Linked DNA regions of Ovis aries. The protein of the gene in region 7 interacts with the protein of the main gene of each other region in a pairwise test. Links are inferred from orthologs where the notes say so. Each region holds a gene or a part of one and is shown on either strand. Other genes may lie near its edges. The genes, in order: ENTREP1, RNF11, PLEKHB2, DAZAP2, ARRDC3, LITAF and STAM2.

Region 1 (4,367 bases), about 90 Mb from region 7:
AATACCTTTAAGCTTGTGCATAAATTAAAATGTATAATCTGGCACATGAGAAACTCAATTTAACATTACTTGCAATTTAAGAATACCTACCATAAGATGTTTTAAAGTCCATGAGATCACATACTTCAAACGTTTATTTTAAAAGACAACTCCTTTTTTTTTCCGGGATTTGACGTTTATTTCCAAGAGGAGTTTGTAAAAGAAGTCCTTGAGACTATGAATCACAGGTGCTTTAATAATTCAAAAAGTGTACATGTAGACCCACATGCACATTGGCAGTGCATTACATTGTGAGTTACAGTAAGTAATGAACGAAATAAATACAGCCTTTGTAAGCAGAGCATAAAAACAGATACATGTTTCCTTTGGTTTAGTGGGCAGGAGGATATAAAATACCCTCCCCTTACTTATTACTCACCTAATACTGAGACTGACTTTCTGCAGAGTGACAGTGCTCTGGTTCTTAACCTGAAAAAATTCTATCATAATCATTTTATGTATAAGAACACTTTCAATACATAAGAATTCCTACCATTAGGAAATGAAATTTTACAAAGGCAAATCATTTCTTTTTAAGTTCTAAATATATTTTATAAATTACCAAAAACAGATTAGAATTTTATGAGGCCGTTTCTCTGAAAGTCTGGGATTCTGTGTTCTACCAGATGATGCCTAACACAGCTCAGGAGTCAGCGTGAGACGGCCACAGAGTGTATGTAACCCTTGCCAGCGCTCCAGGCCGTTGGTTCTCTTTCTGGATGCCGGATACTTCCAAGGAAACTTTGGCCTCCTGCCCACTCCTACGCTGGTGCCAGGAAAGCACCCATACCCCTCATTCCCCACCTCCCAACTTCCCAGGCGGAGGGGCTGCAGAGCAGTCAGCGCCGGGAAGCCCCACGCGAACGGTGACTTTGCTCTGCGTCGTCCTTTCCCGAAACCCTGAGGCTTAGACTTTTCCCAAGTCACCCACAGCTCTCTTCCTGTCATCCTTCCCCTAGGCCGGGGAAAAGTTTAAAGCCGGGCTCCCTTCGTATGAAAGGTCGCCAGAGTCGCGCTCGCGGCTGGACCGGAAAGGGGCGAGGGGCCCCAGCGCGCCTGCGGCGCTCCTGTTGCGCCCCAGCTTGGCGGCTGTCGGTACCTCCGCGCCCAGTCCGCAGTTCCCTCCTAGCCCGAGGGAACCTGTTTTAAAACTGGGGCACCTCTTCTGGAGCCCCGGGAGAGAGCGCCGGTTTGGCGGGGCCCCAAAGGGTGCAGGCGCTGCGCGGCGGGACCTCAGGGCGTGCGTGGTGTCGGGGGCGGGGTGTGGGAGTGGGGCGCGCCCGGGAGGCCGGAGGCCGACCCGCCGGCTGGCAGGTGGGTGCGGCCGGCGGGAGCCGGGGCGGCGGCTGCGGCAGCAAGTGGTTGGGCCGTGCGCATTTTCTTCCCGCCCCCTCCGCGTCCGAGCCCGCCCGCGTGCTCAGAGCCTGGCGCCGGCGGCTCAGCTCCGCGCCCGCTCCCCGCTGCCACCGGCCGCTCCTTCCCCGTTTGTCCATGTCCCTGCCTGTGGTGCTCCCGGGCTCCTGCTGCCCGGTGGCCGGGCTCTCCGGCGGGCCGCAGGCCGGGGGCCCGGGCGCCGCGGCCGCCGCCGCCCAGGAGCCGCCGCTGCCCCCACTACGGCCGCGCTGGCCCCGGGCTGCGCTGCAGCCCCCGGCGCGGCCTCGCTGCGGGGCTACCGCCGCCGGGGTGCTGGCCGCGCCGCCTGCACTCTCTTCCCGCCGGGCCGCTGCCGCCGCCGGGGCTCCGGGCTCCGCGCTGCTGCCCGCTCGCCTGCTGTTGTCGCTCGGTCTGCTGCAGCTGATCCTGGGCTGCTGCATGGTGGCACTCAGCTTTGGGGCACTGTCGCTGAGCAGCTCCCCGCAGGTGAAGAACTCGTGCCCGTTCTGGGCCGGCTCCTCGGTGAGTGCCGCGCGCGCGCGCCCCGCTCACCGCGGGAGCAGGGATCTAGGGCCGGTTCCCTCCTCTGCCTCGTGATTGAGCGTCCTAGGGCTGCACTTGGGGAGGAGAACCTCTCAGACCGGTCGAAGTTTTTGGGCCGTTGAGAGGGTGGAGGTCCATGGTGAATTGGGTTGCACCTGGACGGTGTCTATTCCATGTAGGCTAAAGGGTTTTGTTATTCCTGTCAAACTAATGGGATAAACTTGATTTCCAGCCCCTGGCGAGACTAGAAGAATGGGGGTCGGTGGCAAAAAAAAAAAAAAAAAGGCGGGAAGAAAATGAGTAAACTTCTTCTTTCAGCCATTGAGTGTTTATTTCGCTAACAGAGTCCGCAAGGCTCTCGATCTATTTTGTTCACCAGTTTATCAGCAGTACCAGGCACACGGCAGGGGTATTTGTGGGATGGATGAAGTGACAGGTTGGGGCATGTCACTTATTTTATTCTGCACTGAGGCAAACGGAAACATGAAGTGTCTGGTGTAAAGTAACTCCACTGTGTTTGGGGACGAGCTCAAGAGGTAATAACAGTGTGTTAACTCGCCGTGTACTTGGTCGTTAAAGGAGGGCCCTAGGCCCGCACTGGGTTCCTGGAGCCACACAAACTGCTAGGCAGAATTTAATTCTTGAGAACAGGAAGCCATCATGTGGAGAGCTTGGAGATGTCTACCCGGCTCTGCCACTGGCCCTACCGGACTGGCGCCTCCAACAGAGAAGGCTGATGCGGGGCAAAAGGTCTGCTGCCCTGGAGCATCTCTGCCTCCAAAAGAGTTCACAACTTCCAAGGCAACCAGTGTCTTGAGGTTTGTTGGGGACTGAGAGACTTGGAAACAGATCTTCGTGAAGTGATTGTGGAAGATGAATATGTAAAGCAAACAATCTTTCTCTAAATTAAATCTAAAAGCCTGGCAATGCCTATAGTTCTTACTGAGATCTGTAATAAATGTAGGCTACCTAAAAACATTGGGTGGTCCTTGCAAGTCCACACAAACCCACTTTCAAGACCAGATTTAAGAATATGGCGGTGGTTGGTGCTCACTCCTGTCAACCTCTTTGCAGCCCCATGGACTATAGCCCACTAGGTTCCTCTGTCCTTGGGATTTCCTAGGCAAGAATACTGGAGTGGGTTGCCATTTCCTCCTCCAGGGAATATTCCCCACCCAAGGATCCAATCAGGGTCTCCTGCATTCTGCATTAGCAGGTGGATTCTTTATCAAGGAGCCACATGGGAACCAAAGACTTTTAAGATTATAGGGAGAACGAATTGAACCCAAAGTAATTGTTTGAATAAGAACTGTAAGAAAATTAGGTATGTAGAGCCTGGCTTGGTTTTTATGCTTAAACTGATGCCAGTTTGTTCTCCTTATTTTGATGCTGGTACGGCCTGTGCTATGGTGGGTGGAATTCACAATCTGTGCAACATATAAAAGAAATCCCCACTTCTAGCCCTGCCCTTGGGCTCTCCAACAGGCTTCTGGGAGTTCTTTAAAACTTCACGAGGAGGAATATTCTCAACAGGGTAGGTAGGGGTTGGCTCTGTCTTACTCCTTAGTCCACTTGTCAGCCTAAATTCAGCCAAATGATGGGTGCATTTAATTTCTCTAAATACCCTGGGCCAGAAGTGACTCTTGCATACATTTTAGGGATTTGCTCTTTGTAAAATCATAATCTCTTGTCTTGTCAAAGATAACTAGTTCAGGATTACTGAAAACTATTTTTTCTCTCCTAAAATTAATCCCCTAAATCAGTGTACTCCTGTGAATTATATCAGAGGTAAATGCATTTCAGATGTCAGTTGAGCCATGGTTAGATTTGATGAACTAACCACTCCAGTATTCTTGCCTGGAGAATATCATGGACAAAGGAACCTGGTGGGCCACAGACCATAGGGTTACAAAGAGTCGGACATGACTGAAGCAACTTAGCACACACGTGTGCATCAGATGGTAAAGGCTACTAGTTTGGGCCTGCTGGCTGGGCATGTTCTTGTCCCCAGGACCCAGCAAACCAGAGCAGGGAAAGAATCAGTGATTTGGAACTAAGTCTCTTCTATAGGGTCCTTTTTCCACCTGTGCCCCCCAACTCTATATGAAATTTGCAACTGTTATTTTTTGTGGCCTGTTTCTGAGGTTGTCTTCAGAATTTGCAGTGACAACAGAACCAACAGATACTGCATGTCCGGAACAACGGAATAGGATTTGAGAATGGCCTTAAGGCCCATAACTCTGTTGCAGGACAAGAGTTTCAGGAGTAGCATACCTTTTGAATTTATGTGTGTGAGAGGCATTTTTTTTTAAACTCTTCTTTATGTAAAAATTTAAATTTATTAAAAAACTGTACAGTGAATTTTCATATGCCGCTACCCCAGTTGTTGCACACTGTTTTATCTGTACCTC
Region 2 (4,080 bases), on a different chromosome or scaffold from region 7:
GGAAACCACGAAAAACTCCCATTGTCACAAACATTTCAAAAAGACCTTTCTACCTGATACCAAAAAAACCCTCTCTTTATTATCTTATCCTCCTGGAAAAGGCAAATATTGAATACAATCTCCATAAATTCTAAAGAAGTTATTCTTAACAATGTATAAGATATACATGTATTTAAGAGAAAGAGTACAATAAGTTGAAGGTATTTTACTTGCTTATAAGAGGACTAAGGAATATAGGAGATTCTGAAATAAAAACTCGTACCTCTAAAAAATTTTTTTCATGAAATGGAAATAAGCACATTGTCCTATAAACATTTATGAAGGAAATCAAGAGTGAAATTTGAAGGAAAGTAAGAGTGAAACAATTTACTTGCTTCAAAGACTCAGGAAAGCACTTAGATTTGGTTTGGATTTTTAAAGAGACTTCTCCTGTGACAATTCTTTGGAAGAAATGGGTGTGTAAACTTACATAACAATACTCCATTTAAATTCATTAATTCACTCAACATTTAAGTGTTCATGAGCCAGAAACTGCACTAAGCACTGGCGGGTAGTCCCTGTTCTCAAGGGCTTAGAGTTTTCCCTTATTCCAGTTACTGAGCAACTACTATGAAGCCAGATGTTGAGGATACAACAAACAGGAAACAGAGTTCCTACCTGCATTCAGCTTATACTGGAGAAGGAGGGAAATGCCTCAAGAATGAGACACACATCTAACTTAACAAGGACAACATATAAGTGTTATATGCGTTGCTTTTGAAAGTGCAGACACTTCCTTCAGGGGAGACACAAAGAAGGGAGTGATTGATTCAGGGCGAAAGGGAGGGGAATTTAGGAACTTCAGATACAGCTCAGCTGAGTCCTCAAAGAGGATTACACGCTCACCTGCTGACCTTGGGGGAAGGGTTCCAGAGAGAGCAATTGGAACTAAGGCAGAGAGGTGTGAATAAGCTGTTGTGTTTGACAGGCCTGGAATATGAATGTGAGGGATAAATCATGGAGTCTTCTGTAAGCCACATGAAAAGACTGGACTTTACCAGCATATATGAAAGGCCCCTGATGGGTTTTATTCAGAAAACCAGCATTTGTGATCAGGTTTTTCTGGTGTGGTGAGACACTGATTAACATAGGAATGAGAAAAGAATAACACTAGATAATGATGTCACCACATGAAACAACAAAGGAGACTGCCCAGTTAGAAAATTAAACCCCAATCAGGAAAAAAAATTAAGCCACTTAACTATCCAAGTCCTTCTGGTAAAGTTTTTAATCAACATCTTGAAATAGTAGAGGAAAGGTTTATATATATATTATGGATTATAACATCTACCTATCTATTTTGAGTTTTCTAAAGAGGGCTTCAGCTCTTTACAAATCGTGTAAAGACATCTGGAGCTGCTGACTGCTGCACAAAAAGCAGTGAAGTCATTTAGAAGACAAGTCTTTGATACACACGGAGAAACCATGAGTAACAGAAGGTATTTCTCAAGTAAGGTTTAAAGGTTTCCAAAGTTCAAGATAATCAAGTTCTCTAAATCAGCGCGTTTAAAAGGTGTGTCACAGGGGTGGAGCAAAAAGAGGAGGGGTTCAGAATTAATACTGTTGTTGCTGTTCAGTCGCTAAGCTGACTCCTACAATTAGTATAAACACACACACACACATAAATATGTATACATATATATGTAAAGAAGCAACTCCATGTTGCTGGAACCAAAATCACTACTTGAAAATCTCCCAAGCACAGGAAGAAATGAACGCCTACTAAATTCAATGAATACAGACAGACGAGAGGGAGGAGAGGAGGATCACACTTTAAAGTATAAATGGGATGTATGTGTGGTGGGGTGGGGTAGTGGGGGGAGGTTAACCACTTATCCAGAACCCATAATCCAGCCGGTGATGAGGAAATCACCTTCGAACCTCACAATGCACATATAAAGGCATGAAAATATCACTTCCGAACTCCACAATCTAGCCACCAGTCACTGGCCAAGGGGATATAGTCACACACTCGAATCCCAGAACTCAAGGACAGAAGTATCCCCACACTGCTCGAAGGGAGGTGAAGGATTCCCCCTACACTGACGATGGGATCAATCACACTTAAACCCAGCCCTAAGGGGGTCCAGTGCCTCTCAGGCCGGGTGTTGCCGAGGCCAGGGACAGTGACAGACAGCCCCGAAGCCCCCACAATCTCCGCCAGAGCCGCCTCTACTCCTCGCACCCCCCTTCCCCAACACACACCCTCCCCTACCTGATATGGCGGCGGCGGCTCCTGATCCGGCTCCGTCCCCTCGCCAAAGCTGGCCCGGTCGGACTGAGACTCGTGAAGCAGGGAGATGTCATCCGAAGTGGGGGACTTGAGGCAGTTCCCCATCTTCTGGAGCTGGGGTGTGTGATCTGGGGGAGGAAGAAAGCAGTGGCGGGGTCGTTCGCACGCTCCGCGGTCAGCCTCGGTCAGCGAGGTGGGGTCGGGCGGCAGGCCGGGGTTCAGGCGGCAGCGGCTCCCCCGGCCCCCGGCGCCGCCGAAGGGCAGCTCATGCCAGTCCCTGGGGCTGGGGGCTTAAGGCTGGGCCGCGGGTTTCCCGGGGTCGCGGCGGTTGCCTCCTGAGGCGGCGGCAGTGGGGGGGGGGGGCGGGGAGACGAAGCACTTCCCCACCCCGCCCCCCCGCGGGGCGGCGGCGGCCACGGAGCTGCTGGGCCTAATCCAGGTCAGGAGTGGGGGGGCGCAGCCGTCGCGGCTCCCTCAGCTGCTGCCTCAGCTGCTACTGCTGGCCCCGCCGACGCCGGAGCCGCAGCCGCGGGCCTCATCCTACTCCGCTTCGCAGCGGCGGCGGCGGCCAGAACGAGGCCAGCTGCGGCCCTGCGTCACGCCGCCGTGCGTGCCCTGGTCCCGCCCCCGGCGCTGGGAGGCGTGGGTAGCTCCGGCTGTGCTCCCTGCTCCTTTGCCACCCCCCTGCCCCTCCCCCGTCCCCAGCAGCTGTTTCTGGGGCTGCGTCAGTTTCTGCTTCTCTGACAGCCTGGGACGCGATTCCGATACCTCTTTTGGGTCTTCGGTTCCTCCCCACGCGCTCTGCTCCCTCTTCGCTTGTCTCAGCTCTTAACTGTGCGTTGTTTTGACAGTCTTCTGGCCACCTTCTGCCAAGTAATCCATTTTAAAACCCATATCTGAATGGATTACTCCCATGACTAAAATATTAAAATATTCTATCCCTTCAGAATAAAGTCCAAACTCACTACCTCCCCAGTCACTTTGCAATCCTCCTACATCACAGTCAGAAGAATTCTTCAACCGATTATTCTATTTATTTCTATTCTTACCACCATAGTACAAGCTACCGTCATTTCTCTGCTGTAATACTTTGAACTATTTCCCCTGCGTTCGCCATTGCCCCCATTCAATTTACTATTTGTACAGTTATCTTTTTAAAATGTAAATCTGATCAGGTCATTCCTGTAGGAGGAATTTAAGCCTTTTAAAACATTCATTAAAAACTTCCCAATACTGTTATGACTGAAGTATTAATTCTTAAATGGTTTACAAATCTGGCTACCTCCCCAGTCTCATTTGTGGCCTTGTTCCCTCACATATTCTAATCTTTAGGATGTCTGAATAGTTTTCAGTTATCTAGAAGACTATTCCCTCTGGCTGAGGTCTTTACCTATGATGTTTCTCTGACATAAACTCACTTCTCCCCACTCCTGAGCTTATACCTTCCATCAAACTATATCCACACTTGTCCTTCTTGGACTCAACTTTGATTCCACTGGGAAGCCTGTCCTCTAACCCTCCTGTCTGGGTTAGTTACCTCCTCTGTGCTCATAGTCCCTGAGCACTCAGTTCCTGAGTCCCTGTGAGTCTCTATCACAGCCAGATCAAGCTGAATCTGCCCCTCCTCTGTACAAAGACCTGGCACATTGCCTGAGGCAGAATAGCCTTTCTTCTTAACCGAAATAACAAAGAGTTCAAGAGGCAATGTATGTAGAGGGAGGAAATAAGAAAGATGAGAATGCTCTAATATTCATTCAACGAGGGGAAAAGAGGGTCTTGACTGTCTTTTTTTCATTCTTCATTTACTT
Region 3 (2,803 bases), about 42 Mb from region 7:
CAGTCAGCTTTGCTGGAGCCCCAGAGGCTGTGGGATATCACACTGCTGCCTAAGGAAGGTTCCAGCCTATTAACTCCTGAAGTAACATGCAGCCAGTTCTGGTCTGAGGTTTCAAAGTCCGATATTAAACCAAAAAAACTGCAGCTTTTCTCGCCACGGTCACTCACTCACTCATACATCACCCATGTTACCAGCAAAACACTAAAATAAATTATCCCTTAAGAAGTAAGATCTAACTCTAAAAAGAAAATGGCCTTTCAAAACGGGTGTGTTCAAATAAAGCATTGAGAGAGTTTTATAAGGAAACCCCTCAAATGAGCCAGTGCTGCCATAGAGTCCACATTTTAGCTAAACAGCAGTCCAAAGCTTTCTCTGCAGTACTTCTATGTACTTATAAGCATTTTGTCACTACTTTCAAAAGAACTATTAAACCTATTACTAAAAACATTTATAACAAACAGAAATGCCCTGCAAATCATATTATTGCACACGGGGTTTCAGAAGCTATGCACACCGAGGTTCCATGGACTCTAGAAGACCCAGAACAGAGACCCCAGGGCCATGCCTGTGGCTGCTCCGGCCAGCATGCCCAGCGCCAGGTCGCTATCGTTGTCTCGGTACCGCTCACGAATGATGACTTGGTTGGCAGGCTGCTGTCCATAAAGCCCTGGAAAAGAAGGAAAGAACAGACTCCTGAGGAGCAGTTTGTGAAGCTCAACACTCACTCAAAACGAGAGCTCATTTGCCTGGGACCCTTCCTGAGGTTTCTCCATGCACAGCACTCTTCCTACAGACTCGTCTCCCTCAGAGAGCTGGGCGTGGGGGGGGGAGGTGACTTTGGTGAGCGCTCCCCAGCTCTCCTTCACCACAGATGAAGGGGACTCGGCTTGGCCGAGTGAGGGGGACACTCCGTATCTAAGATGGAACTAAGAGAAAATCAAGATGCTCAGTTTCCCAAGGTCCACAGTCCCGGACACTACAGAGAGCAGAATCGTAATGAAGTTGCAAACCCCAGCCCACAACGTCTGCTTTAGCCCCCACAGTGTTCATCAGGATGGCAGGCAGACCAGGAACACAGGAGACACACAGAGCCTAGAGACTGTGGGAAAGCCAAGGATCCCCATCCAGAAGCTAAACAGCTTCTTAGTATTCATGGAAACGATATGTAAATTAAATTAAACCTTAAATCTGCTAACATAATCCGCTCTTCATTTTTAATGTTATGCCTTTATGGAGAAAAATATTTGTCAAAGGTAAAACATCTAAAAAACAAACTTTAAACAAATTTAAACTTAGCTGCACAATTAAAGTTCTCAACTGGAAATGTTTTCTTCTATATTTCACAATATGTTGTCCAAAAGCTAGTTAGCTTTAAAATTGTTCCCACAGGACTTCCCTGGTGGCGCAGTGGATAAGAATCCACCTGCCAATGCAGGGGACACAGGTTCGATCCCCAGACCAGGAGGAGCCCACACTCCAGAGCCCACAAGCCACAACTACTGAGCCTGCAGGCCGTAGAGCCTGTGCTCTACAACAAGAGAAGAGCCCCCAGTCTCTGCAACTAGAAAAAGCCCACATGAAACCACGAAGACCCAGCACAACTGGAGATAAATTTCCTCACATACAGTGCTAACGTTCCTCCTTAACCCATTATTCTCTTAACAGTTCAACCCTAGGAAAGTGAGAAATTGATCCAATAGTGATACGTCCATAAAGAATGAAGATACTAAATGATAAGTGCTTACCAGTCTAAGCACTTTCAGTATTACAAGCATTTATATGTACAGACTCACTTAATCCTCACAACAATCCTTGCAGCTGAGCTTACTGTTACCCTATTCTATAAACAGGGAAAGAGAGAGGTGCATGGGGCCTGAGCACACTGGGTGCAAGCCAACCCAGGCGCTCTGGCTACAGTGCGCACTCAGACACCAATGCCCCTAATACGATGAAGGAAAGAGAAGCATCAAAGCCACAGGGCAGGAAAATGCGACCATTACAAACCTAGAGTCGTCAGGCAATAACATTAGAAGCAAAGATTTTTTTTTAATGTAATATTTAAACTACATAACTGGTGAACTGTGGCATTCAGAATCACAGCCTTGAAATTTTAAAAATTTCAACTAGGCAACTCCAATTAGTAACATGTAATACAGCAGGACCCTATAGCTGACCTAATTTAAAGACCCCTGGAAAATCTAAATCTGCATTCCAGCTTTAGCTCCACAGAAGGACCCCCTCACTCCATGACCAGGAGCCAACTTCTCCTACAGCTCATCTCTGTTCCTACCAAAAGCTAAGTCTTTACCAAAGTCAGCTGGGGAACATTTCCAAACTGTACTCATTTTAATCATCTAATTTAATCTTTACATAAATGATCCAACCATGAATGTAGAAAAGGAAGATACTGTTAGATATTTTAAGAACAACTAAGTCAGATACTTTTCAGCTTCCCTGGTGGCTCATATGGTAAAGAATCCGCTTGCAATGCAAGAGACCTTGGTTCGATTCCTGGGTTGGGAAGATCCTGGAAAGACTAAATAAAGGCAGATAACTTTTACAAATTACTATCAAACTAAGAAATTGAGAATTACAAAATCTAGAGGTGTTCTCTCAGACTTGGCCCTGGAAACTGCAGAGCAATTACGTGTCATGAGTACCATCTCAACAAGACAGAAACAGAGGACTCCAACTAAAGGAGCCAATTCAAACCAAAGACCTCAAGCTCACATCAATAGACAACTGAACAAATGTCTACTAGTGTGGGAAAATTAAAACAGAATACTTACAGTGTGTACACAGC
Region 4 (4,152 bases), on a different chromosome or scaffold from region 7:
AAACAGAAATGCTTAAACAAGCCCTGCCTGCCACACAGGGCTGTTGTGAAGATCTGTGATGACTCCATAAAATCATGCATATTAATGGTGTCCTGCAAACTGTAATTTGACACTGGAGAGAAAAACAGCGGACTGCTGATGAAGTGAGTACTGGTCTTTTCAGTGGTTTAAGTCATTCAACAGCAAATATGGATCAGGTTGCTAATGTTTACCGAGGGTTTTTCTTTTCAAAGCTTTCTTTTCAGATGCTTTTCTAATGTTCTTCCTACACTACAGAATGTAAACCATGAGAAAATAGCCTTGGGCTGTCTTGTTCAGCTCCATCTCTGTACCTGAACACAGCAAGCGTTCAGCAAATATCTTAAAGAATGGAAGCAATTGTTGCCTTAAAGGATGGCATCTTTGCTCTTAAGAACGATTAAGTTAGAAGAGAAGGGATACACAGAGAAAATACCTATCAGGTACCATACAGGTGTCTGTGACAGGTATCAAAGTAAGGGCCAGGGCATGGGTACTCCTTGGGTACCAAGAACATGCGTTTTAGTGCTAGCTGTTGCAGCGGGGTGGGGCGGGGCACAGCACAGCATACCCTTTCTGTCGGTGAGAAAGCGACACAGAAATAAAACACCGACAGCCTATCGGTAGAATAGAAAGGCAGTGAAGACTTGAGTGAGGGGAACGAGAGATAGATCAAGGGTTGCGAAGCATCTCAGGCAGTTAGGTAAGATTGTAGAAATCTATGTCCCGTGTGTGTGTGTGTGTGTGTGTGTGTGTGTGTGTGTAGGAATCTATGTCCCGTGTGTGTGTGTGTGTGTGTGTTAGTTTCCGGTTCGGTCCATGGGAAATGGCAACCCACTCCAGTATTCTTGCCTGGAGAATCTCATGGACAGAGTCGCACAGAGTCGGACTCGACCGATGAGACTTAGCAAGCATGCATGCCCCTTGTAGAAAGGCTGTCAAGGTGAGGTGACCTTGAGGTGCTGAACGTAGGTGGAAAAAGGTTCCAGAGAATAGTTTAATGTTACTGCCTCCGAGCGTTCAAGAGAGAGAAGATCCCGTTTTGAGACAATACCTGTATTTGGTTTTCCTTCAGCCGAGGGACAAGGGTAGGGGTTGGAGGACCAGACCCGGTGGGCGGGGCCTACGCGAGCGGACGGGATCACGCGGGCCCTCCCTCCTGCAACCGGCGGCCGGGCGAAGGGGCGGGGTTTCCGGTGGCAGCGGCACTCGGGCGTCGGGTGACGCTAGGCGGACAGATCGTCACGTGACACGGAAGTGACTACGAACAGGAAGAGGACGAAAAAAATAACCGTCCGCGACGCCGAGCCGAGCCGGACCCGCAGCCACCATGAACAGCAAAGGCAAGGATAGGGGGTGGCTGAGGCCGCCGGGGGGACTAGTGCTGGCCCGGAACGAGCGGGCCCGGAGCCCAGGGTCACCGAACGCCAGGCCTGGGGCGAGGTGCGCCGCGCTCCTGAGCCAGCTGCAGTGCCCGGGGCTGCGCCAGACACCTTCGTCATTCCCGAACTACGGCCGTTCGCTCCCTCACGGCCCTTTCTCCCTTAAACTCTGTGGCGCAGTTTGGAGCTGCGGACTCGGGTTGGGGGGGGGCTGTTGGGTGGGTGGGTTGGGGGGGTGGGGAGAAGGTTTGTCGTGATGGGCATCTGTAGGAGCAAATGGGGAGCTGGAGGCGAGATTTGGGTAGGCCAATGGAGAACTGGCAGAGGCGGGGCGCCGCGCTCCGGAACCACAGGCAGGCCTCCGGGCTTAACTAGTAAAGTGCCGCTCTGGTGGGCGGGCCAGTCGGGCCCGAAGGGGGTCTCTTCCCCCTTACCCTCGCTGGCGGCCAGAAAGTCTCCCGGTTTCTGTGTCAGAACATTCCCTTCAGCCCCCTCCACGATCTCAGCATTCACTTCCACCACTCACTCTTTTCATTTGGAAGTCGACCTTGAGTAGGAACCTGTGAGGTCGATGACCACAACCACCGTTACTCACGAGGTCTTGGTCAGTTACAACCAGACCTTTGGAGACCACGCAGGACAGGGAGACAGGACACACCGTTGAAATACCGGCTAGAGGGGATGCCCAGAACTGCCCTGCGTTCTGAGAGGATCTTGGGCCCAGCTAGACTTTCCCCTTACAGCAGTCGGCTACTGGATGTCCAGTTGGAATCCAGCTTCTTCAGCTTTAAGGGTGCAACGAGAATGCTTATTTTCTTGGCTCCAGGAATCAGGCCCTCTAGGGCAGTCTGTTTGGAAATCTCTTTTTGCTTATCCCAGCTAGATTAGCTACCCAATATGCCCTGCTTTGTTTTGGTGACTGTATGGTAGACAACATGCTTTTTTTCCCCCCTTGTCTTCCAGGTCAATATCCAACGCAGCCAACTTACCCTGTGCAGCCTCCTGGGAACCCTGTGTACCCTCAGACCTTGCATCTTCCTCAGGCTCCACCCTATACTGATGCTCCACCTGCCTACTCAGAGGTGCTTCCAGTTAACTTAATAATGGAATACTCTTGGATCATGTTTTCGGTCCTTGGCCAAGTCTGGCTCCACACATTTATTTACTTTCCACAAACAGAAGAGAGTGCTCACATGAATCATCTTAAAACGTGACATAGTTCAGCCATTTCTTTTGGGTTTGAGAAGGCATTATCTGATTGTTTTATGTTATTTGGCACTGGCTGAAGTTAAGAAGATGAGTTTGCATTCCCTGAGCCTAACATTAGCTATAGCAGGAAGTGATCCAGGAGAATATTGAGTGGCAGTGGAAAGGCAACTTGTGTAACTCAAAGAGTGTAATCTGCACAAGGAGAATTAAGACTTGACTCATTAAATTGAGATCTGAAATAGGAATGTCATGAAGTAACTTATTGCCTTCTCTTCTGCCTCTTCTAGCTCTATCGTCCGAGCTTTGTGCACCCGGGGGCTGCCACCGTCCCCACCATGTCAGCTGCATTTCCTGGCGCCTCACTGTATCTTCCCATGGCCCAGTCTGTGGCTGTTGGACCTTTAGGTTCCACAATCCCCATGGCTTATTATCCAGTTGGTCCCATCTATCCACCTGGTTCAACAGTGCTGGTGGAAGGAGGGTATGATACAGGGGCCAGATTTGGAGCTGGCGCTACTGCCGGAAACATTCCTGTGAGTATGACTTGGTCACAAAAAAGCTCGACCCTTGTGTATTTTAACTTTCTGAAATGACTGGTCATCCTTTCATCATCCCTGGGTAATAGTTGCTGGTATTGGTGTAATAATCACTGACGTCCAGTAGTCAGGCAGAAAGCACTCAAAGGGGCAGGAGAACCGTGGCCAGTCAGTAACATCTGGCGTACTCACTGATGTTAGAATTTATCAGATTCCTTTGTTTTCCTGTCTTAGGAGTCCTGCCTGCTGCTTTTCCAGTTCACTTTGATACTAGTTTAGTAACACTCCTCATTCATTCCATAAGCATTTATTTATATGTGCCATCAGCATGGCATCGTATTAGGAACCATGACGATTAAAAAAACAATGCATAATCCCTATTAAATTGCATTTAGAGAGATACTAGGGATTTTAGCAATGTCTCTTGATTAGTTCCCCTATGTATGGGAATTAGAGCCCATATGGTCCTTGCTAGGACCATCTACTCAATAACCATAGGCTAGGGATGAAGTGAAAATGCTGTCATCAGGTAGAGCCTTCAGATTATCCAGGGCCATTTGAAAACTGTCAGGCCCTGTGATATAAGTCCCTGGACCTGGTACCCGCTCCGTTTTGGGATGTGAATAGGAGTGATTTTCTGCACTGAAAATGCCAAGTCTGGACTTCCCACACTTAGAAGGTATCCATAGGCTTTATTTTGGATCCAGAACCCTTTAAATGAGTGGGTTTCCTGTTTATATCTTTGGCCTTACAAAGAATGTAGACCTGCTGGACTCAGATTGGTGGCCCAGATAGCTCTTTGAGATGCCGCTGGTTAGCACACTGCCATCTTCCTGATTGGTCCTTTTTCACCTTTGTCCACTTCCCTCCCATAGCTGCCCTCTGCCCAATCAACCTTGTCTTTTCCTTTCAGCCTCCTCCCCCTGGATGCCCTCCCAATGCTGCTCAGCTGGCAGTCATGCAGGGAGCCAATGTCCTCGTAACTCAGCGGAAGGGAAACTTCTTCA
Region 5 (3,651 bases), on a different chromosome or scaffold from region 7:
TATATGCTCAAAGACTGTAAATTCCTTCTTTAATTTTACTGGTAGAAGCCAAGGCCTGTGCAATTCGGCTTTCACCCAATAGCGCACACTGCCATGTCGGCCTTCGAATGAGGTAGCAAGTGGTCTGTGCAGAATATAAAGATCATATATTAATCTTACACCTCTGTTTAATTAATTATACAGTAGGTCAGCATAGAAGTGTTAATATATTATATGTTTATACACCAATGAGGTATCGAAGGTGTAATTTATATTTCCAAAGGGAGAAATCATGGGGGGGGGGGGGAACCTTCCAAATAATAAAATAGATAATTGTCAAATAGTGCAGAAATTTGGTTAAAAAAAGCCAGACGAATACAATTGCTTTAAACTAAGAAGAGGCTACTTTTAATGCTGGTGGCAAAATTATCAAAGTCTGGAAATGAACAGTTTTTGAAAAGGTCAAGACTTTAGTTTAAAAATAAAATTAAGAATGGTTTAACTATTTCTCTTGAGAAATTCTAGACTCTGGTTAAACATTCAGACCAAACTCCCTATGGTGCTCCATTTTTCATTAGCTAAAAATTACTATTTCCTATTATAGCAACTAATTAAGATCCAGAAAAGGTCTGGAATAGTCATTATGGCTTCAAAAGCTTTTTACATTTCATTAAGTCCACTAATCTCTTAAAAAATGCTTTCCATTTCCTAATTTTGGCCATGTTTTCTAACTACATTATAGACTTAAAAAGAAGGAGAATTTCTTCTGTTGACCTGTTATCAAAAGAATCAGAATTCTTCTCAACTCTGATTTTATTATTTGTGGAAGATTTTATTTTAGTGTATTTAGTCTCCTTTTCATAATTTCATCAGAAAAATGCACAAGGTTCATTTATTTACAAGGTAGAGTGCTAGTTTTTTTGAGGAGTAGCGGTGTTTACTTTTTGTTTTACATTTTAGACTTCTGCTTAATTTGTATAGCACAGAGAAATAAAATGCAGGATCTATTCAAGACTTCTACAGTTTATTTTAAATGACTGTGGCTTATTGAAAGAATTAAAATATATATTTATATTAAATTACCTTCATCCTTTGAAAATATTCAGGCCCAACTGTATTAGCCCTATTGTATTTACAAACTTAAAATATTTCTCTTAGAAAGTAATTAGGGTATTATATTAAAAATGTTCTTAAGCAATATGATACTCTGAAAAATACTCCTTATGAACTCTATCCATATATAATAAGTACTAGAATTAAAGAACACAGAATTATGTACATTTGGCACTTGACAAAATCTTCTGTAATGCAAGTTTATCTTTCAGAACAAACATTACAAGTACCACTTTGCATGCTTTAATATCTGTTAAGGCATTATTTTAAAAACTGCTTTTTGTATAATTTCCTCTAATACATAATTATTACATTATGAATATTTTACTTTCCTTCTTCCTTTCATACTATATTCCAGGCCTTACATTAAGATATCTGATTGACATTTCCTTTTAAGTCTAGGTCGCAATATCTCTTGTGTGACATTCTCAATAGCTCCTTGCACAGAAGCTAATGAATTCATATCATAAACACACAGTACTTCTAAAATTAGGATATTCCTAATTATTTTTACCTTCTTAGTGTTGGTTAAGCATCAGTAGAAAGGACAGAACACTTAACTTTTATAAACTACTAAATGACAGACTTGATATGATCTTTTTTCCAGCTAATGCTGATGGTGAACTATTAGGTGCTTACCATTTGACTAGCACCTTCCAATTCATTCACTTTAAATGAAATACTTTTAAACATCATACAAATCCTGAGACAGAGTATTAAGAATTGAGATTTGCTTTCTATAATTTTGCCACTCTAGATTAAAAAATAGCTTTTTTTTAGTATATTGTTTTCCTCTAGCAAGTTTCAGTAATGAAAAGGGTTTTTTTAAACTAAAAATATTTAAATATACAATGTTTCATTTTAAAAGAAAGGATGTTTATTTGAAAAACGCCTGTTAACAAAATACTTACGTCTGTGGAAGCTCGAAGCTGAATGCATATTCATGCCTTCCTGAATGAACAGTGTTGAAGCCTTCTTCCGAATTATCGTCATCTAAAACAGAAAACAAAAAATTTATTAATAAACCTTCACACTCTCTTCACGATGTCAGAACTTAAAAGATGCTCACATAGTTAAATAAGGCCACAAACTTTGGAGTGTGAGAGATCTGAACTCTAATTCCAACTTCATCACTTCTGGGTAAAATAAAACTCCTGTCTTCAGCTGGTTCATCTGTAGAATGGGGATAATTAATATTTATACCCCATAAGTGATTTTTTTAATGGAAAACAACCTAAACTGCAAAGCATCTTCAGCTAACATCCTACAGGCTAAGACTCAGACCTCAAATCTCATACTAAGATGTTACCTTTGTCTTCAACCATTTACTTAAATTTATCCTAATAAGCCTACATATAAAATGAAAACTATTCACGTAAACCTTTAAAAAAATATCAGTTTTGATACGGAAAATATGAATGTGAAAACTCAAACGATTAGAAAACTGCTAAGTAGATGTTGGGAGTTAAAAAAAAAAAAAGGAACAGTGATTTTAATGTCGGTTTCATAGTCAAAAATAAAAATTGTTACTGAACCTAAAATTATGACCTCAGTCTAATAGCTAAAAATTCACATATATATGATGTACCTTAGACTTAAAATGTGCCTGCTTAACGGGAAAAAACAGGTCATACATCCTTGAAAAATGAAGATAAGGATGTTCCCCAGTGCTAGGGAAAAAACAGGATGACCTTTGATTTTACATCCAATTTCTTTTGATGAAATAGGTTATTTTTCAAACTATCTAAAAAAAAAAAAAACCCTCAGGGAAATACGGGAGGGGGTTCTGGATTCTTGACATGCTTTTCTGAAGCGTTCTAACTAGGTAATTTAATTACATAAATGTCTACTAACGCAGCTTCCTCGGTGTAGAAACCTTTATCATTAAATAGGCTGTCAGAAACGGGTATTATCATTTAACTTTCCCTCAAAAAAGTAATAAATACACACACAAAAAATGATGCTTCCCTCAGAGGGGGGAAAAAAAGATGCCTATATGTGGATACCTTTTATTCAATAACCATCACGACTCAGTCTTGTCACCATTATTTTGTTCTTCTCCCCCCACCCCCGTGCAAATTCTCTCTCCTGGATTTCGGCCCTGAAAGCGGCTGATGAGTTGGGGGACATTTAAAACCGCTCCCTCCTGAAGGCGCCCAAAGTTTGCCTCCCTGTCTCTCCTTTTCTTCCCTTCTCGCTCCCTTTTTGTGCCAGCTCAGCAGTCTCATTGAGGCGAGCGGCGGCGGCGGCCGCGCCGTGGTAAACAAGTGCCGGGCTGTCAATCAAGAACTAGACCGGAGCAGGAGAGGACCGGCCTAAACCGGCGCGAGCAGATCCCAGCCGGCCCGCCCGCGCGCCGCCGCCGCCCGCGCGCCCCGCTATACATACGGCATATGTCGCGCGGCGCTCGCACTCGCGCTCGCACAGCCTAGCCTGCTGGCGGCGGGAGGGGGCGGGGCCAGGGCGCCGCAGCGCTTCCGCTTTACACGCCCCAGCCGGTGACCGGTTCGATCTGGCTCGGGCCACCCTGACACCTTTAAATTTGCAGCAAAGGAAATA
Region 6 (4,264 bases), on a different chromosome or scaffold from region 7:
GAAACCCCCATGAGCTAAATAGCTTAAATTCTTCACCATTATTTTCCCTGACGTTAACACCCACGAAGAAGAAAGTGCCTCTGACTTTTCGGATCTCGGTGAATTAACTTCCTACCTACTAGGTAAACAGGGAGTTGCCACTGAGACACCCGTGATATTTACTTTCTTCTGTCCAGGCCCTAAGTCTTATGAAAGTACACACAGTTCTTCACAGAAATAATCTGCAGTCAGAAGACAAATTCATTGGCCACAAAAGTGTTATCCCGACTGCCCTGAGCCCCAGCGCAGGTGCAAACAGTAAGATGAAATTGTGAGGACCCAGGAAAGTACCACTTAGAGCTCAACCCCGATGAGTTAAGGAAGGCTACTTGCTTGGTGAGACGGACCACACTGCCCAGTGAGCTATTTTCATTGCAGTAAAAGCACAAACAAATAGAAGACAGGTCACAGTGTCAAAACTCTAAGACTTCGAGTCATGGAACTCATTTTTTTCCACCATCACTGTAGCTGGGGTTGATTCATTTTCAGCAGGAGAATTTTAAGTCCTTGATGGGCATACTCCCATTCTCAGAGTGGCACCATAGCACTGCCAGTCGTGGGTAAAAGCAAGGAAGCATGCCCTGTCTATCTCCTTGAAAATAAACTTGGGCTGGAAATGCCTTCCAGTTCCTTTGCTCTCAGTGGCTTCTCTTTTACTGTCCTCAACTATGGGCTAGCCTGCACTTCCTCCAAAGCTTTGCTGAGCCTCTTCTGCTTATTTGGAATACATGTACCTTCTATGACATGTATTCTCAGGTCTCTGCTTTCCTATGAAATTTTCCCTGACTTGTAGTTCACTCCTTTCCATTTCTTTCAATCCTTCCAGAGTAAAGGGCATTGCTGAGCACTGACTATCCACCTGTGTTTTTTTCCACTTTCCACTGCAGCATAAACCCCTCAGAACATAGAGACATTTCTTCTGTGTCCTTTACAAGGCTAGAGTAGCATTTTATTTCCCCACAACCATCCAGTAAAAGGGACTAAAGGAACAAAGGAAAGTTTACTCACCAGAGACAGTGAAATGACTTCAATCTAGTATTTAGAGACTTAAGAAATTGATCCTCCATCTCAGATCAATCAGTGAGTCACTTAATCCACAAAAACATTACAATGAGGATACTTTCACAAATGTGAATAAAAGCATCTATTATTCATGCCTTCAAGTAACAGGAAAGGGGGAAGATGGGCCCCTCCCATCGTAGATCTACAATAGACGTTTCTTAGAGAGTCTGGGGCACCTTTAAACCCCAGTGCAAGGCCTGGTTGAGGTAAGTCAGGAGCAGCATGGGTATTATTCTACGTCAGGTAGAGCCAAGTCCTGCTTGCAGGCCTCCTCCAAGTCAACTTCGATAAAACCAAACAGTCTGGTGGAGTCCCAGATACCAGCTCACGCTGGACACCACATCCAGGTGAGTCTCACTGTAAGAGTCAATCAGAGATGGCTTGGGCAGGGCCAGGGGGCGGGGTGGGGGGTAAGAAGATAGGGGAGGCAGTCAAGCACACACTAATGCAAACCACATCTTTCCTTAAAAGGGCCCCAGGGGAACTGCAGGGCCAACCTGCCTTCCAGACAGCCCTTGAACCAGCACCAGCTCACCCAGCCAAGGGCTTATTCCCCTTGGGAAGATGGGTGGGCGAGTCTTACTCTGATGCACTAAGATGGGAAGGCCCTGTGCCTTCCAGAATTTGGATTTCCCAGCCACCAAAGCTCAGTCCGACATGCAATGACATCAGCCCCACTTATCGGCAGCACAAAAGCCACCAGACAACTAATCAAAGACCAGCCGGCCTGATCCCTGGAATGCACAGCCGGTCCAGAATTGCCCATTTCCCCATCACCTCCTGTCCTGACCTTGATGAAGGGTTTCTGGCATAACAATGACTCCACTGCCCAGATCACAGTGACCTGGAAACCAAAGAGAAAGAGGCCACCTACCTAGCTGGGCGTGGAGGGCCAATGTCCACCTTGCCGGCCTGTGCCACTGGCATGTATCTGGCAGCGGCAGTGGACGGGGTCCCGGCCGACCCCTGCGCTCACAGGGTGCCTACCTTACCCGCTCCCCCCCCCCACAACCCCTCCCCGCGAGGGGTCTAGCCAGGGCCCTGGCTCCGTTTGCTCTGTGTCCGGAATTTTTATCTCTCGTGGGCTCCCTAGGCCCGCCGGTGTCCGCCGAGAGCGGTCCTGAATACTATGGGGAACCCCCTGGAGCGGGGGATGGCGGGGAAAAGCAGATATCGTGGACCCCAGAAGTCGAATTTCTGGGACCGGCGTCGGAAATCTGTTGGGCTTTTTTTGTTTGGTTGGTTGGTTTTGTTTCTGAATAGCCGTGCGATAATAAGTCTGGAAACTTCAACTTTGAGAGAGCAGCTACCAAGCGAGACGAAACTTTCTTGAAAAGCTTCGGGGTGTCCTCTCCCGAGGAGGAGACCCCCGCGAGCAACACGGGGCGCGCTTTCAGGTGAGGGCGGGATGACCCCACCGCGCGCGATCCGCGGGCGATCGGCTCACTTCGGGGAGCAGGAACGGGACCCTGCCTGGACTGCGGCGGGAACAAGCGCCAAGTGACTGGAAGCCCGGCCTCCCCGGCCCCGCGTGGAAGATCGCGGCGGGACTCCGACGCCCTCCAACCACTTCGAACCCCGGGGACCCGCCAGGGTTCCGGGACACCGCCACCACTCCCGCGGAGTCCGGAGCTGGTGCTGGCGCCGCACCGACCCCGCTCTCCAGCCACCACCAGCTCGACGCTCCGCGGATCAGCACCCCGGTCGCTGCCTCCTCCCGTCGGCGACCCCAGCCCGCGCCCCCGCCGCCAGCCAACGCGCTCCTCACTCACCGCCGCGCGCGCCGCCAGTCGAGCCGGGAGGTCTGAGCAGATGGAGCTGGGGGGCGGACTGGCTGGAAGACGGCGGGGAGGAGCGCCTGAAGGCGGGGGGCGGGAGCTGGACCGGCCGGGGCGGGGCGCTCCGGCTCCCGCTTCCGGCTTGTCCCCGCCTCTATGCGCCGCCTGGACCCGATCCTTCCCACTCGCGGGGGGCCGCCTCCCCCAAGCTAGAAACCCCATCAGGGACCTGCGACCCTCTGGCTTCTACCCTTCCCCTCCACCGCTCCGATCTCCCGCTACCCTCGGAACACCCCCTTGACACCCCTAGACCCCGCTCACTCCCTGGAACCCCCTAGTTTCAGCCCAGACCCCACTCTCAGAGAGTGTCTCCCCTTTCGGGTTCTGCTCCTGCTCGTGGATCCGCGCCACGTGCCCGCACAACCTTGAACTCCCCTCCTGATTTCCATTCCCACTCTGCTCTCCCCTGCGCCCCTGGGTCCCCATCTTCGGCATTTGTTCTCCTTCCCGGTTCTCAGACAATGCTGATCACCTCCAGATCCCTTGCCAAGGCATCCAGCGCTCCCTGCCCTCCGGAAGTCGGCCCTTTTCTCCCCATACCTCAATTCTGTGCATTCAGATGCATCCAGGCAACCCAAGAAAATCTATGTGCCTTTGGCCATGTGCCCACTTGCTCTGGCCTCAGTCTCCTGTCTGTAACATGGGCATAACAGTACCTGTCTCGTAAGATCCACAGAGATTTAGCTGAACAATGCAAGCAAAGCGTTCAGCACAGATTGTGCTAAATTAAACCTATCCTAGCTGCTAACTCGCAGAAGGCAATGGCACCCCACTCCAGTACTCTTGCCTGGAAAATCCCATGGACGGAGGAGCCTGGCAGGCTGCAGTCCACCGAGTCGCTAAGAGTCAGACACGACTGAGGGACTTCACTTTCACTTTTCACTTTCATGCATTGGAGAAGGAAATGGCAACCCGATCCAGTGTTCTTGCCTGGAGAATCCCAGGGATGGTGGAGCCTGGTGGGCTGCCGTCTCTGGGGTCTCACAGAGTCGGACACAACTGAAGCAACTTAGGAGCAGCAGCAGCTGCTAACTATTGGACTGGTCAAAAAGTTCATTCAGGTTTTCCCTAAGATGAAACAAAAACCCAAATGAATTGTTTGGCCAACCCAATACTTTGCATGCACCCAGGGTGTCCTGTGGCCCCTGCTACTTTCTCACTCAATCACTGAAAGCTCTGGAAATGAGTAACTACTATTTCAGTTCAGTTCAGTTCAGTTCAGTCGCTCAGTCGTGTCCGACTTTTTGCGACCCCATGAATTGCAGCACGCCAGGCCTCCCTGTCCATCCCCAACTCCCGGAGTTCACTCAAACTCAGGTCCATAG
Region 7 (4,140 bases):
TATCAGAAAGACTGTGCATCCTCTGATGAGACTGTACCAACCAAAGGAAGGTAGTTTCAACTTTCAGTTAATTATAAAATGACCATATCATACACATGGTAAGAGGTGGTTACTCCCTGCAGGTTTAAGTACTGTCAGGAAAGCAGGGAGAGAGAGAGGCTAGTGTCAACACTGGTACAGATAAAATGTATGCCTGAGGTCCTTGCCTTCTTTTCAGGGAAAATGACTGCTGTAAATAGAGGGAAAATATAAAGCATTGCCTATATTTCTAATATTGTATTTTTCACATTGTATTACAATTTTTTAAAAAAAATTTTTATTTCTTTTTCGCTGCTCTGGGTCTTTCGTTGCTGTTTGTGGGCTTTGTCTAGTGGTGGAGAGTGGGGGCTACGCTTCCTTGTGGCGCATGGGCTTCTCATTTGTGGTGGCTTCTCTTGTTGCAGGAGTTGCAGCTCGCAGGCTCTAGAGCACAAGCTCAGTAGTTGTAGCACACAGGATTAGCTTCTCCATCACATGTGGAACCTTCCTGGACCAGAGATCAAACCTGTATCTCCTGCATTTGCAGGCAGATTCTTATCCACCAGGGAAGTCCCTACAATTATCTTTTTATATGTGTACGAATCCACCATTAGAAAGAGAGTTGCTTGAGGGAACATAGTCTGTTTATTAAATTTGTGTCCCCAGAACTTAACACAATTTCTGGTGCACAGTAATCACTCAATGCCTATTTGTTAAATGAAAGGTAAACAAAGCAATGACAAAAAAGAAACAATGGTAATAAAAATCTGACTGAATCAAAGACAGCAGGTGAAAAGGACAATGACATTGCAAAGGAACATTCCTGTGGACATCGCAAGTTAAATAATGACTTGCGTGTCATATTACTTTACTTTCAAATTAAAGAAAGCTTTAAGCTTTCAAAGAGCAATATGTAATTTTCCTTCTATGATAGAGATATAAAGTCAATGTGAAATCCTAAATCATACCATTTTCTCTATTAATTCCAACCACTTGCCTAAAAGAAGTTTACAATCAAGCTTTCTATTTTATTTTTAAACTGTCTTTTGGATACTGACTTCCAGTCAGTCATACTTAAGTTAACAAATAAGTACCTGAAGCTTTGGCTGATGGCACTGCCCATTAAATAATCTATACATGGTTTTGTTCTGTTTTGTTTTTTTGTCTGAAGGGCAGTGCTTCTTTTATTACAGCAGTACTAAACTATGATCTACTAAACCATGTTGGAACCTCAGGAGCCACTGAGGGGAAGGTTTAGAAAAGCAACTAGGCTTACTTTCACTAGAGAAGTTTTCAATCAGAAAACAATAGGCTTCCATGAAAAATCTCCCTTGAAGAGTTCCACAATTTTTAAGTTTGAAAATCACTTGTCTTATTCTAGTTTGCTTTTTTCTTTTTTAAAACTGTGACAAAACAAAAGTCTTCACAACAACAATAAAAAGTGTAGGTCTCACTGCAAGGAAGAAGACATCATTAGGTACTCCAAAGGCAGAGGTTGTGAGCCTCAACGTGATGCTTCCGAGATTTATAACAGTCACCAATGTTAAACTACCAAGAGAAAAGCTGAATGAAATTATGGAATTACATACTTGAAAACCAAAAGGGTCAAAACATATAATATTTTCTAGCTCTCTGGAAATAGAAAATACTTATTAGACTTTTGAATAAGCACTTTTGAAATCACAAACCACAACAGGGCACTTTCTAGACTTTTCCCATAGTCAGAAAATTGTAACTATGAAACAGGTGCAATATTCTGTGATGTGCAATATTCAGTATGACTGGCAATTTTCAGCCATGCATTTCATTACACTAAATCCTAAAACTGTATCTACAGTTAACTGCTGCTACAAAAATATCAATATTTACTTTAGTCAGCTTCAGTTACTGCTTTTCTAATGCCACAAGTAAGTTCTCATACCCAGTTCATCTTTTTCTCACTCTATAATCACTGAAAACCTCTCAACAAGTAAAACATCAGGTGTTCTGGATTGTTCTGAAATCTTGGCGGTTTCTTTTTCATAACCTAATTATCTCGCTCCATAATCACTGACGACCCCTCAACAAGTAAAATATCAGGTGTTCTGGACTATTCTGAAATCTTGGGGTTTTCCTTTTCATAAAAGACAGAACACCTTATAGCACTTGCGCCATCCATGGGTAGAGTAACACTTCCAACTACCGTAAATAGTTGCTATCACGGCTTGGACGCATCTGGATATAAGCGAGGTAAAACACCTCCCTTCTACTGAACAGGAACAACTTTAAGTCTCTAAGTGTTGAGTGCCTTACACATCAGCGTCTGCTGCACCATTTCCTAAGCACGGGGCAGGGGGCTGCAGGGCCGGGGGACACCAGACTCAACCAGCTCTAGTGGGAGCTGAAAGTTTGTGTCATCAACTCCGTAATTGCTCAATTAGTGAAGTCTCCAGAGAGCCCCAGGCTCCTCCCTATTCCTGAGTTTGACGAGAGGAATGGTCCTTGTTCGAGGTCCCCAACCTCAGGTGGGCTGGAGACATGCCCCAGGCCGCTGAGGACGCGCCGAGGCTGCCCACCCTCTCAAAAAAATTCCTGGATGCCTATGAGCGGCGGCGCCGCCCCCTTTCCTAGGCTTTCCAGTTCCCAGAGTCGCCACCGCCCACTTTCTAACACAACAAACAACGGCCCAGGGCCGGGCCCAGCACTTACCCACATCTTGCTCGAAGGGGTTGGCGGTGAACAGAGGCATCTCGCCGGCGCCCGAGCCTTCGTCGCTGCGGTCACGCAGAGGCTCGGCAGCTGCTCGGGGCTGGAGGACCCGCCGCGGCGGCTTCCTAGACGTCTAGCTCGGCCCCGACCACGTCCCAGCACTTCCGCCACCGCATCTGCCCGGATCCCGCCTGATGGGCCAGCTCCCGGTCCGCGCTCCGCCCTCAACTCTCCTCCCGGGGAGAGGTCCCGCCAGCCGCGGGCATCTTCTCAGCGCTCCTGTGTCCGCCGCCCGCGCGGAGGAGGCGGCAGCCCTAGTCCGAAGTTCCAATAGGGGTTAGGCAGCCGCCGCGGCCACCTGTCCATGGCTAGGACCCGGGCAAGCCACGGAGCAGGGGACCTTCGCGGCCGGAAGTCGTCGCGCCTGGGACTGGGCGAAGCCAGAGGCCCGGAAGTTGCACTGCCGGAGGCAGCTTTTCTAAGGGTACGGTCGTCCGGGGTTCTCAGCCTAGGGCTGCGGGTTCAGACGACCAAGCTCTCTCCAAATTGGTTCCTTTCTAAGCTGTGGTGCCACACGGCTTTGGGGCCGCGGCTGCGTTCGCGTCACAGTCCCGTTGCCTTGGAAACGGAAGGAGCCTTGGTAGCGCAGAGTCGGCCAAGGGTTTGGTTCCGCCCATAGCGCTTGCAGGGCGGCACTCTCCGGCGCCTAAACCCCTCGGGAATAACCACCCTAGAAGCAGCGGCCGAAGTAACAATGGCTCTGTGCCGACTCCTGTCTTTTCTCTTTCCATCGTGGTCTTGCCATGAGAATACTGCTGGACTCAATTTAGTTCAATCGCTCAGTCGTGTCCGACTCTGCGACCCCATGAACTGCAGCACGCCAGGCTTCCCTGTCCATCACCAACTCCCGGAGTTTACTCAAACTCCTGTCCATGGAGTCGGTGATGCCATCCAATCATCTCTTGCTCTGTCATCCCTTTCTCCTCCTGCCTTCAATCTTTCCCAGCATCAAGGTCTTTTCCAATGAGTCAGTTCTTCGCATCAGGTGGTCAAAGTATTGGATTTTCAGCTTCAGCATCAGTCCTTCCAGTGAATATTTAGGACTGATTTCCTTTAGGATGGACTGGTTGGAACTTCTTGCAGTTCAAGGGACTCTCAAGCGTCTTCTCCAACACCGCCGTTCAAAATAATATATATCATAATATATTAGGGCCAATAAATTATTAATATATAAAAAATTCCTAGTATGTCTTGGGACTTTACTGGTGGCTCGGTGGTTAAGAACCCGCCTGGAATACGGGAGAAACGTAGATTCCATCCCTGGGTTGGGAAAATCCTCTGGAGGAGGAAATGGCAATTCACTTCAGTATCCTGGGAGATACCATGAAGAGAGGATCCTAACAAGCTATAGTCCATGGTGTCTCAGAGTTGGAA

Evidence for each region.
Region 1: the proteins of STAM2 (region 7) and ENTREP1 interact in a two-hybrid assay, tested with the Homo sapiens proteins (2 studies listed by BioGRID and IntAct). The two-hybrid records come from large-scale screens. The link is inferred for Ovis aries from reciprocal best matches to the Homo sapiens genes STAM2 and ENTREP1.
Region 2: the proteins of STAM2 (region 7) and RNF11 interact in binary tests that used the Homo sapiens proteins (3 or more experiments, as listed by UniProt). The link is inferred for Ovis aries from reciprocal best matches to the Homo sapiens genes STAM2 and RNF11.
Region 3: the proteins of STAM2 (region 7) and PLEKHB2 interact in binary tests that used the Homo sapiens proteins (3 or more experiments, as listed by UniProt). The two-hybrid records come from large-scale screens. The link is inferred for Ovis aries from reciprocal best matches to the Homo sapiens genes STAM2 and PLEKHB2.
Region 4: the proteins of STAM2 (region 7) and DAZAP2 interact in binary tests that used the Homo sapiens proteins (3 or more experiments, as listed by UniProt). The two-hybrid records come from large-scale screens. The link is inferred for Ovis aries from reciprocal best matches to the Homo sapiens genes STAM2 and DAZAP2.
Region 5: the proteins of STAM2 (region 7) and ARRDC3 interact in binary tests that used the Homo sapiens proteins (3 or more experiments, as listed by UniProt). The two-hybrid records come from large-scale screens. The link is inferred for Ovis aries from reciprocal best matches to the Homo sapiens genes STAM2 and ARRDC3.
Region 6: the proteins of STAM2 (region 7) and LITAF interact in a two-hybrid assay, tested with the Homo sapiens proteins (4 studies listed by BioGRID and IntAct). The two-hybrid records come from large-scale screens. The link is inferred for Ovis aries from reciprocal best matches to the Homo sapiens genes STAM2 and LITAF.

Annotation. Positions count from the first base shown.
Region 1 is NC_056055.1:67,369,023-67,373,389, reverse strand, and holds the start of ENTREP1 (endosomal transmembrane epsin interactor 1), read left to right. Parts: upstream 1-1,446; 5' UTR 1,447-1,530; coding exon 1,531-1,935; intron 1,936-4,367. UniProt on the Homo sapiens protein: Functions as an activator of the E3 ubiquitin protein ligase ITCH in the ubiquitination of the CXCL12-activated CXCR4 receptor. Thereby, triggers CXCR4 endocytosis and desensitization, negatively regulating the CXCL12/CXCR4 signaling pathway.
Region 2 is NC_056054.1:25,684,492-25,688,571, reverse strand, and holds the start of RNF11 (RING finger protein 11), read right to left. Parts: upstream 2,866-4,080; 5' UTR 2,378-2,865; coding exon 2,255-2,377; intron 1-2,254. UniProt on the Homo sapiens protein: Essential component of a ubiquitin-editing protein complex, comprising also TNFAIP3, ITCH and TAX1BP1, that ensures the transient nature of inflammatory signaling pathways. Promotes the association of TNFAIP3 to RIPK1 after TNF stimulation.
Region 3 is NC_056055.1:114,957,381-114,960,183, reverse strand, and holds part of PLEKHB2 (pleckstrin homology domain-containing family B member 2), read right to left. Parts: intron 668-2,803; coding exon 531-667; coding exon of another isoform or gene 476-530; 3' UTR 1-475. UniProt on the Homo sapiens protein: Involved in retrograde transport of recycling endosomes.
Region 4 is NC_056056.1:134,989,148-134,993,299, reverse strand, and holds the start of DAZAP2 (DAZ-associated protein 2), read left to right. Parts: upstream 1-1,266; 5' UTR 1,267-1,348; coding exon 1,349-1,361; intron 1,362-2,363; coding exon 2,364-2,482; intron 2,483-2,896; coding exon 2,897-3,142; intron 3,143-4,058; coding exon 4,059-4,152. UniProt on the Homo sapiens protein: In unstressed cells, promotes SIAH1-mediated polyubiquitination and degradation of the serine/threonine-protein kinase HIPK2, probably by acting as a loading factor that potentiates complex formation between HIPK2 and ubiquitin ligase SIAH1.
Region 5 is NC_056058.1:88,494,373-88,498,023, forward strand, and holds part of ARRDC3 (arrestin domain-containing protein 3), read right to left. Parts: exon of another isoform or gene 3,481-3,651; intron 2,266-3,480; coding exon of another isoform or gene 2,184-2,265; intron 2,086-2,183; coding exon 2,004-2,085; intron 125-2,003; coding exon 1-124. UniProt on the Homo sapiens protein: Adapter protein that plays a role in regulating cell-surface expression of adrenergic receptors and probably also other G protein-coupled receptors.
Region 6 is NC_056077.1:10,789,216-10,793,479, forward strand, and holds the start of LITAF (lipopolysaccharide-induced tumor necrosis factor-alpha factor), read right to left. Parts: upstream 2,934-4,264; 5' UTR 2,772-2,933; intron 1-2,771.
Region 7 is NC_056055.1:157,423,468-157,427,607, reverse strand, and holds the start of STAM2 (signal transducing adapter molecule 2), read right to left. Parts: upstream 2,842-4,140; 5' UTR 2,747-2,841; coding exon 2,707-2,746; intron 1-2,706.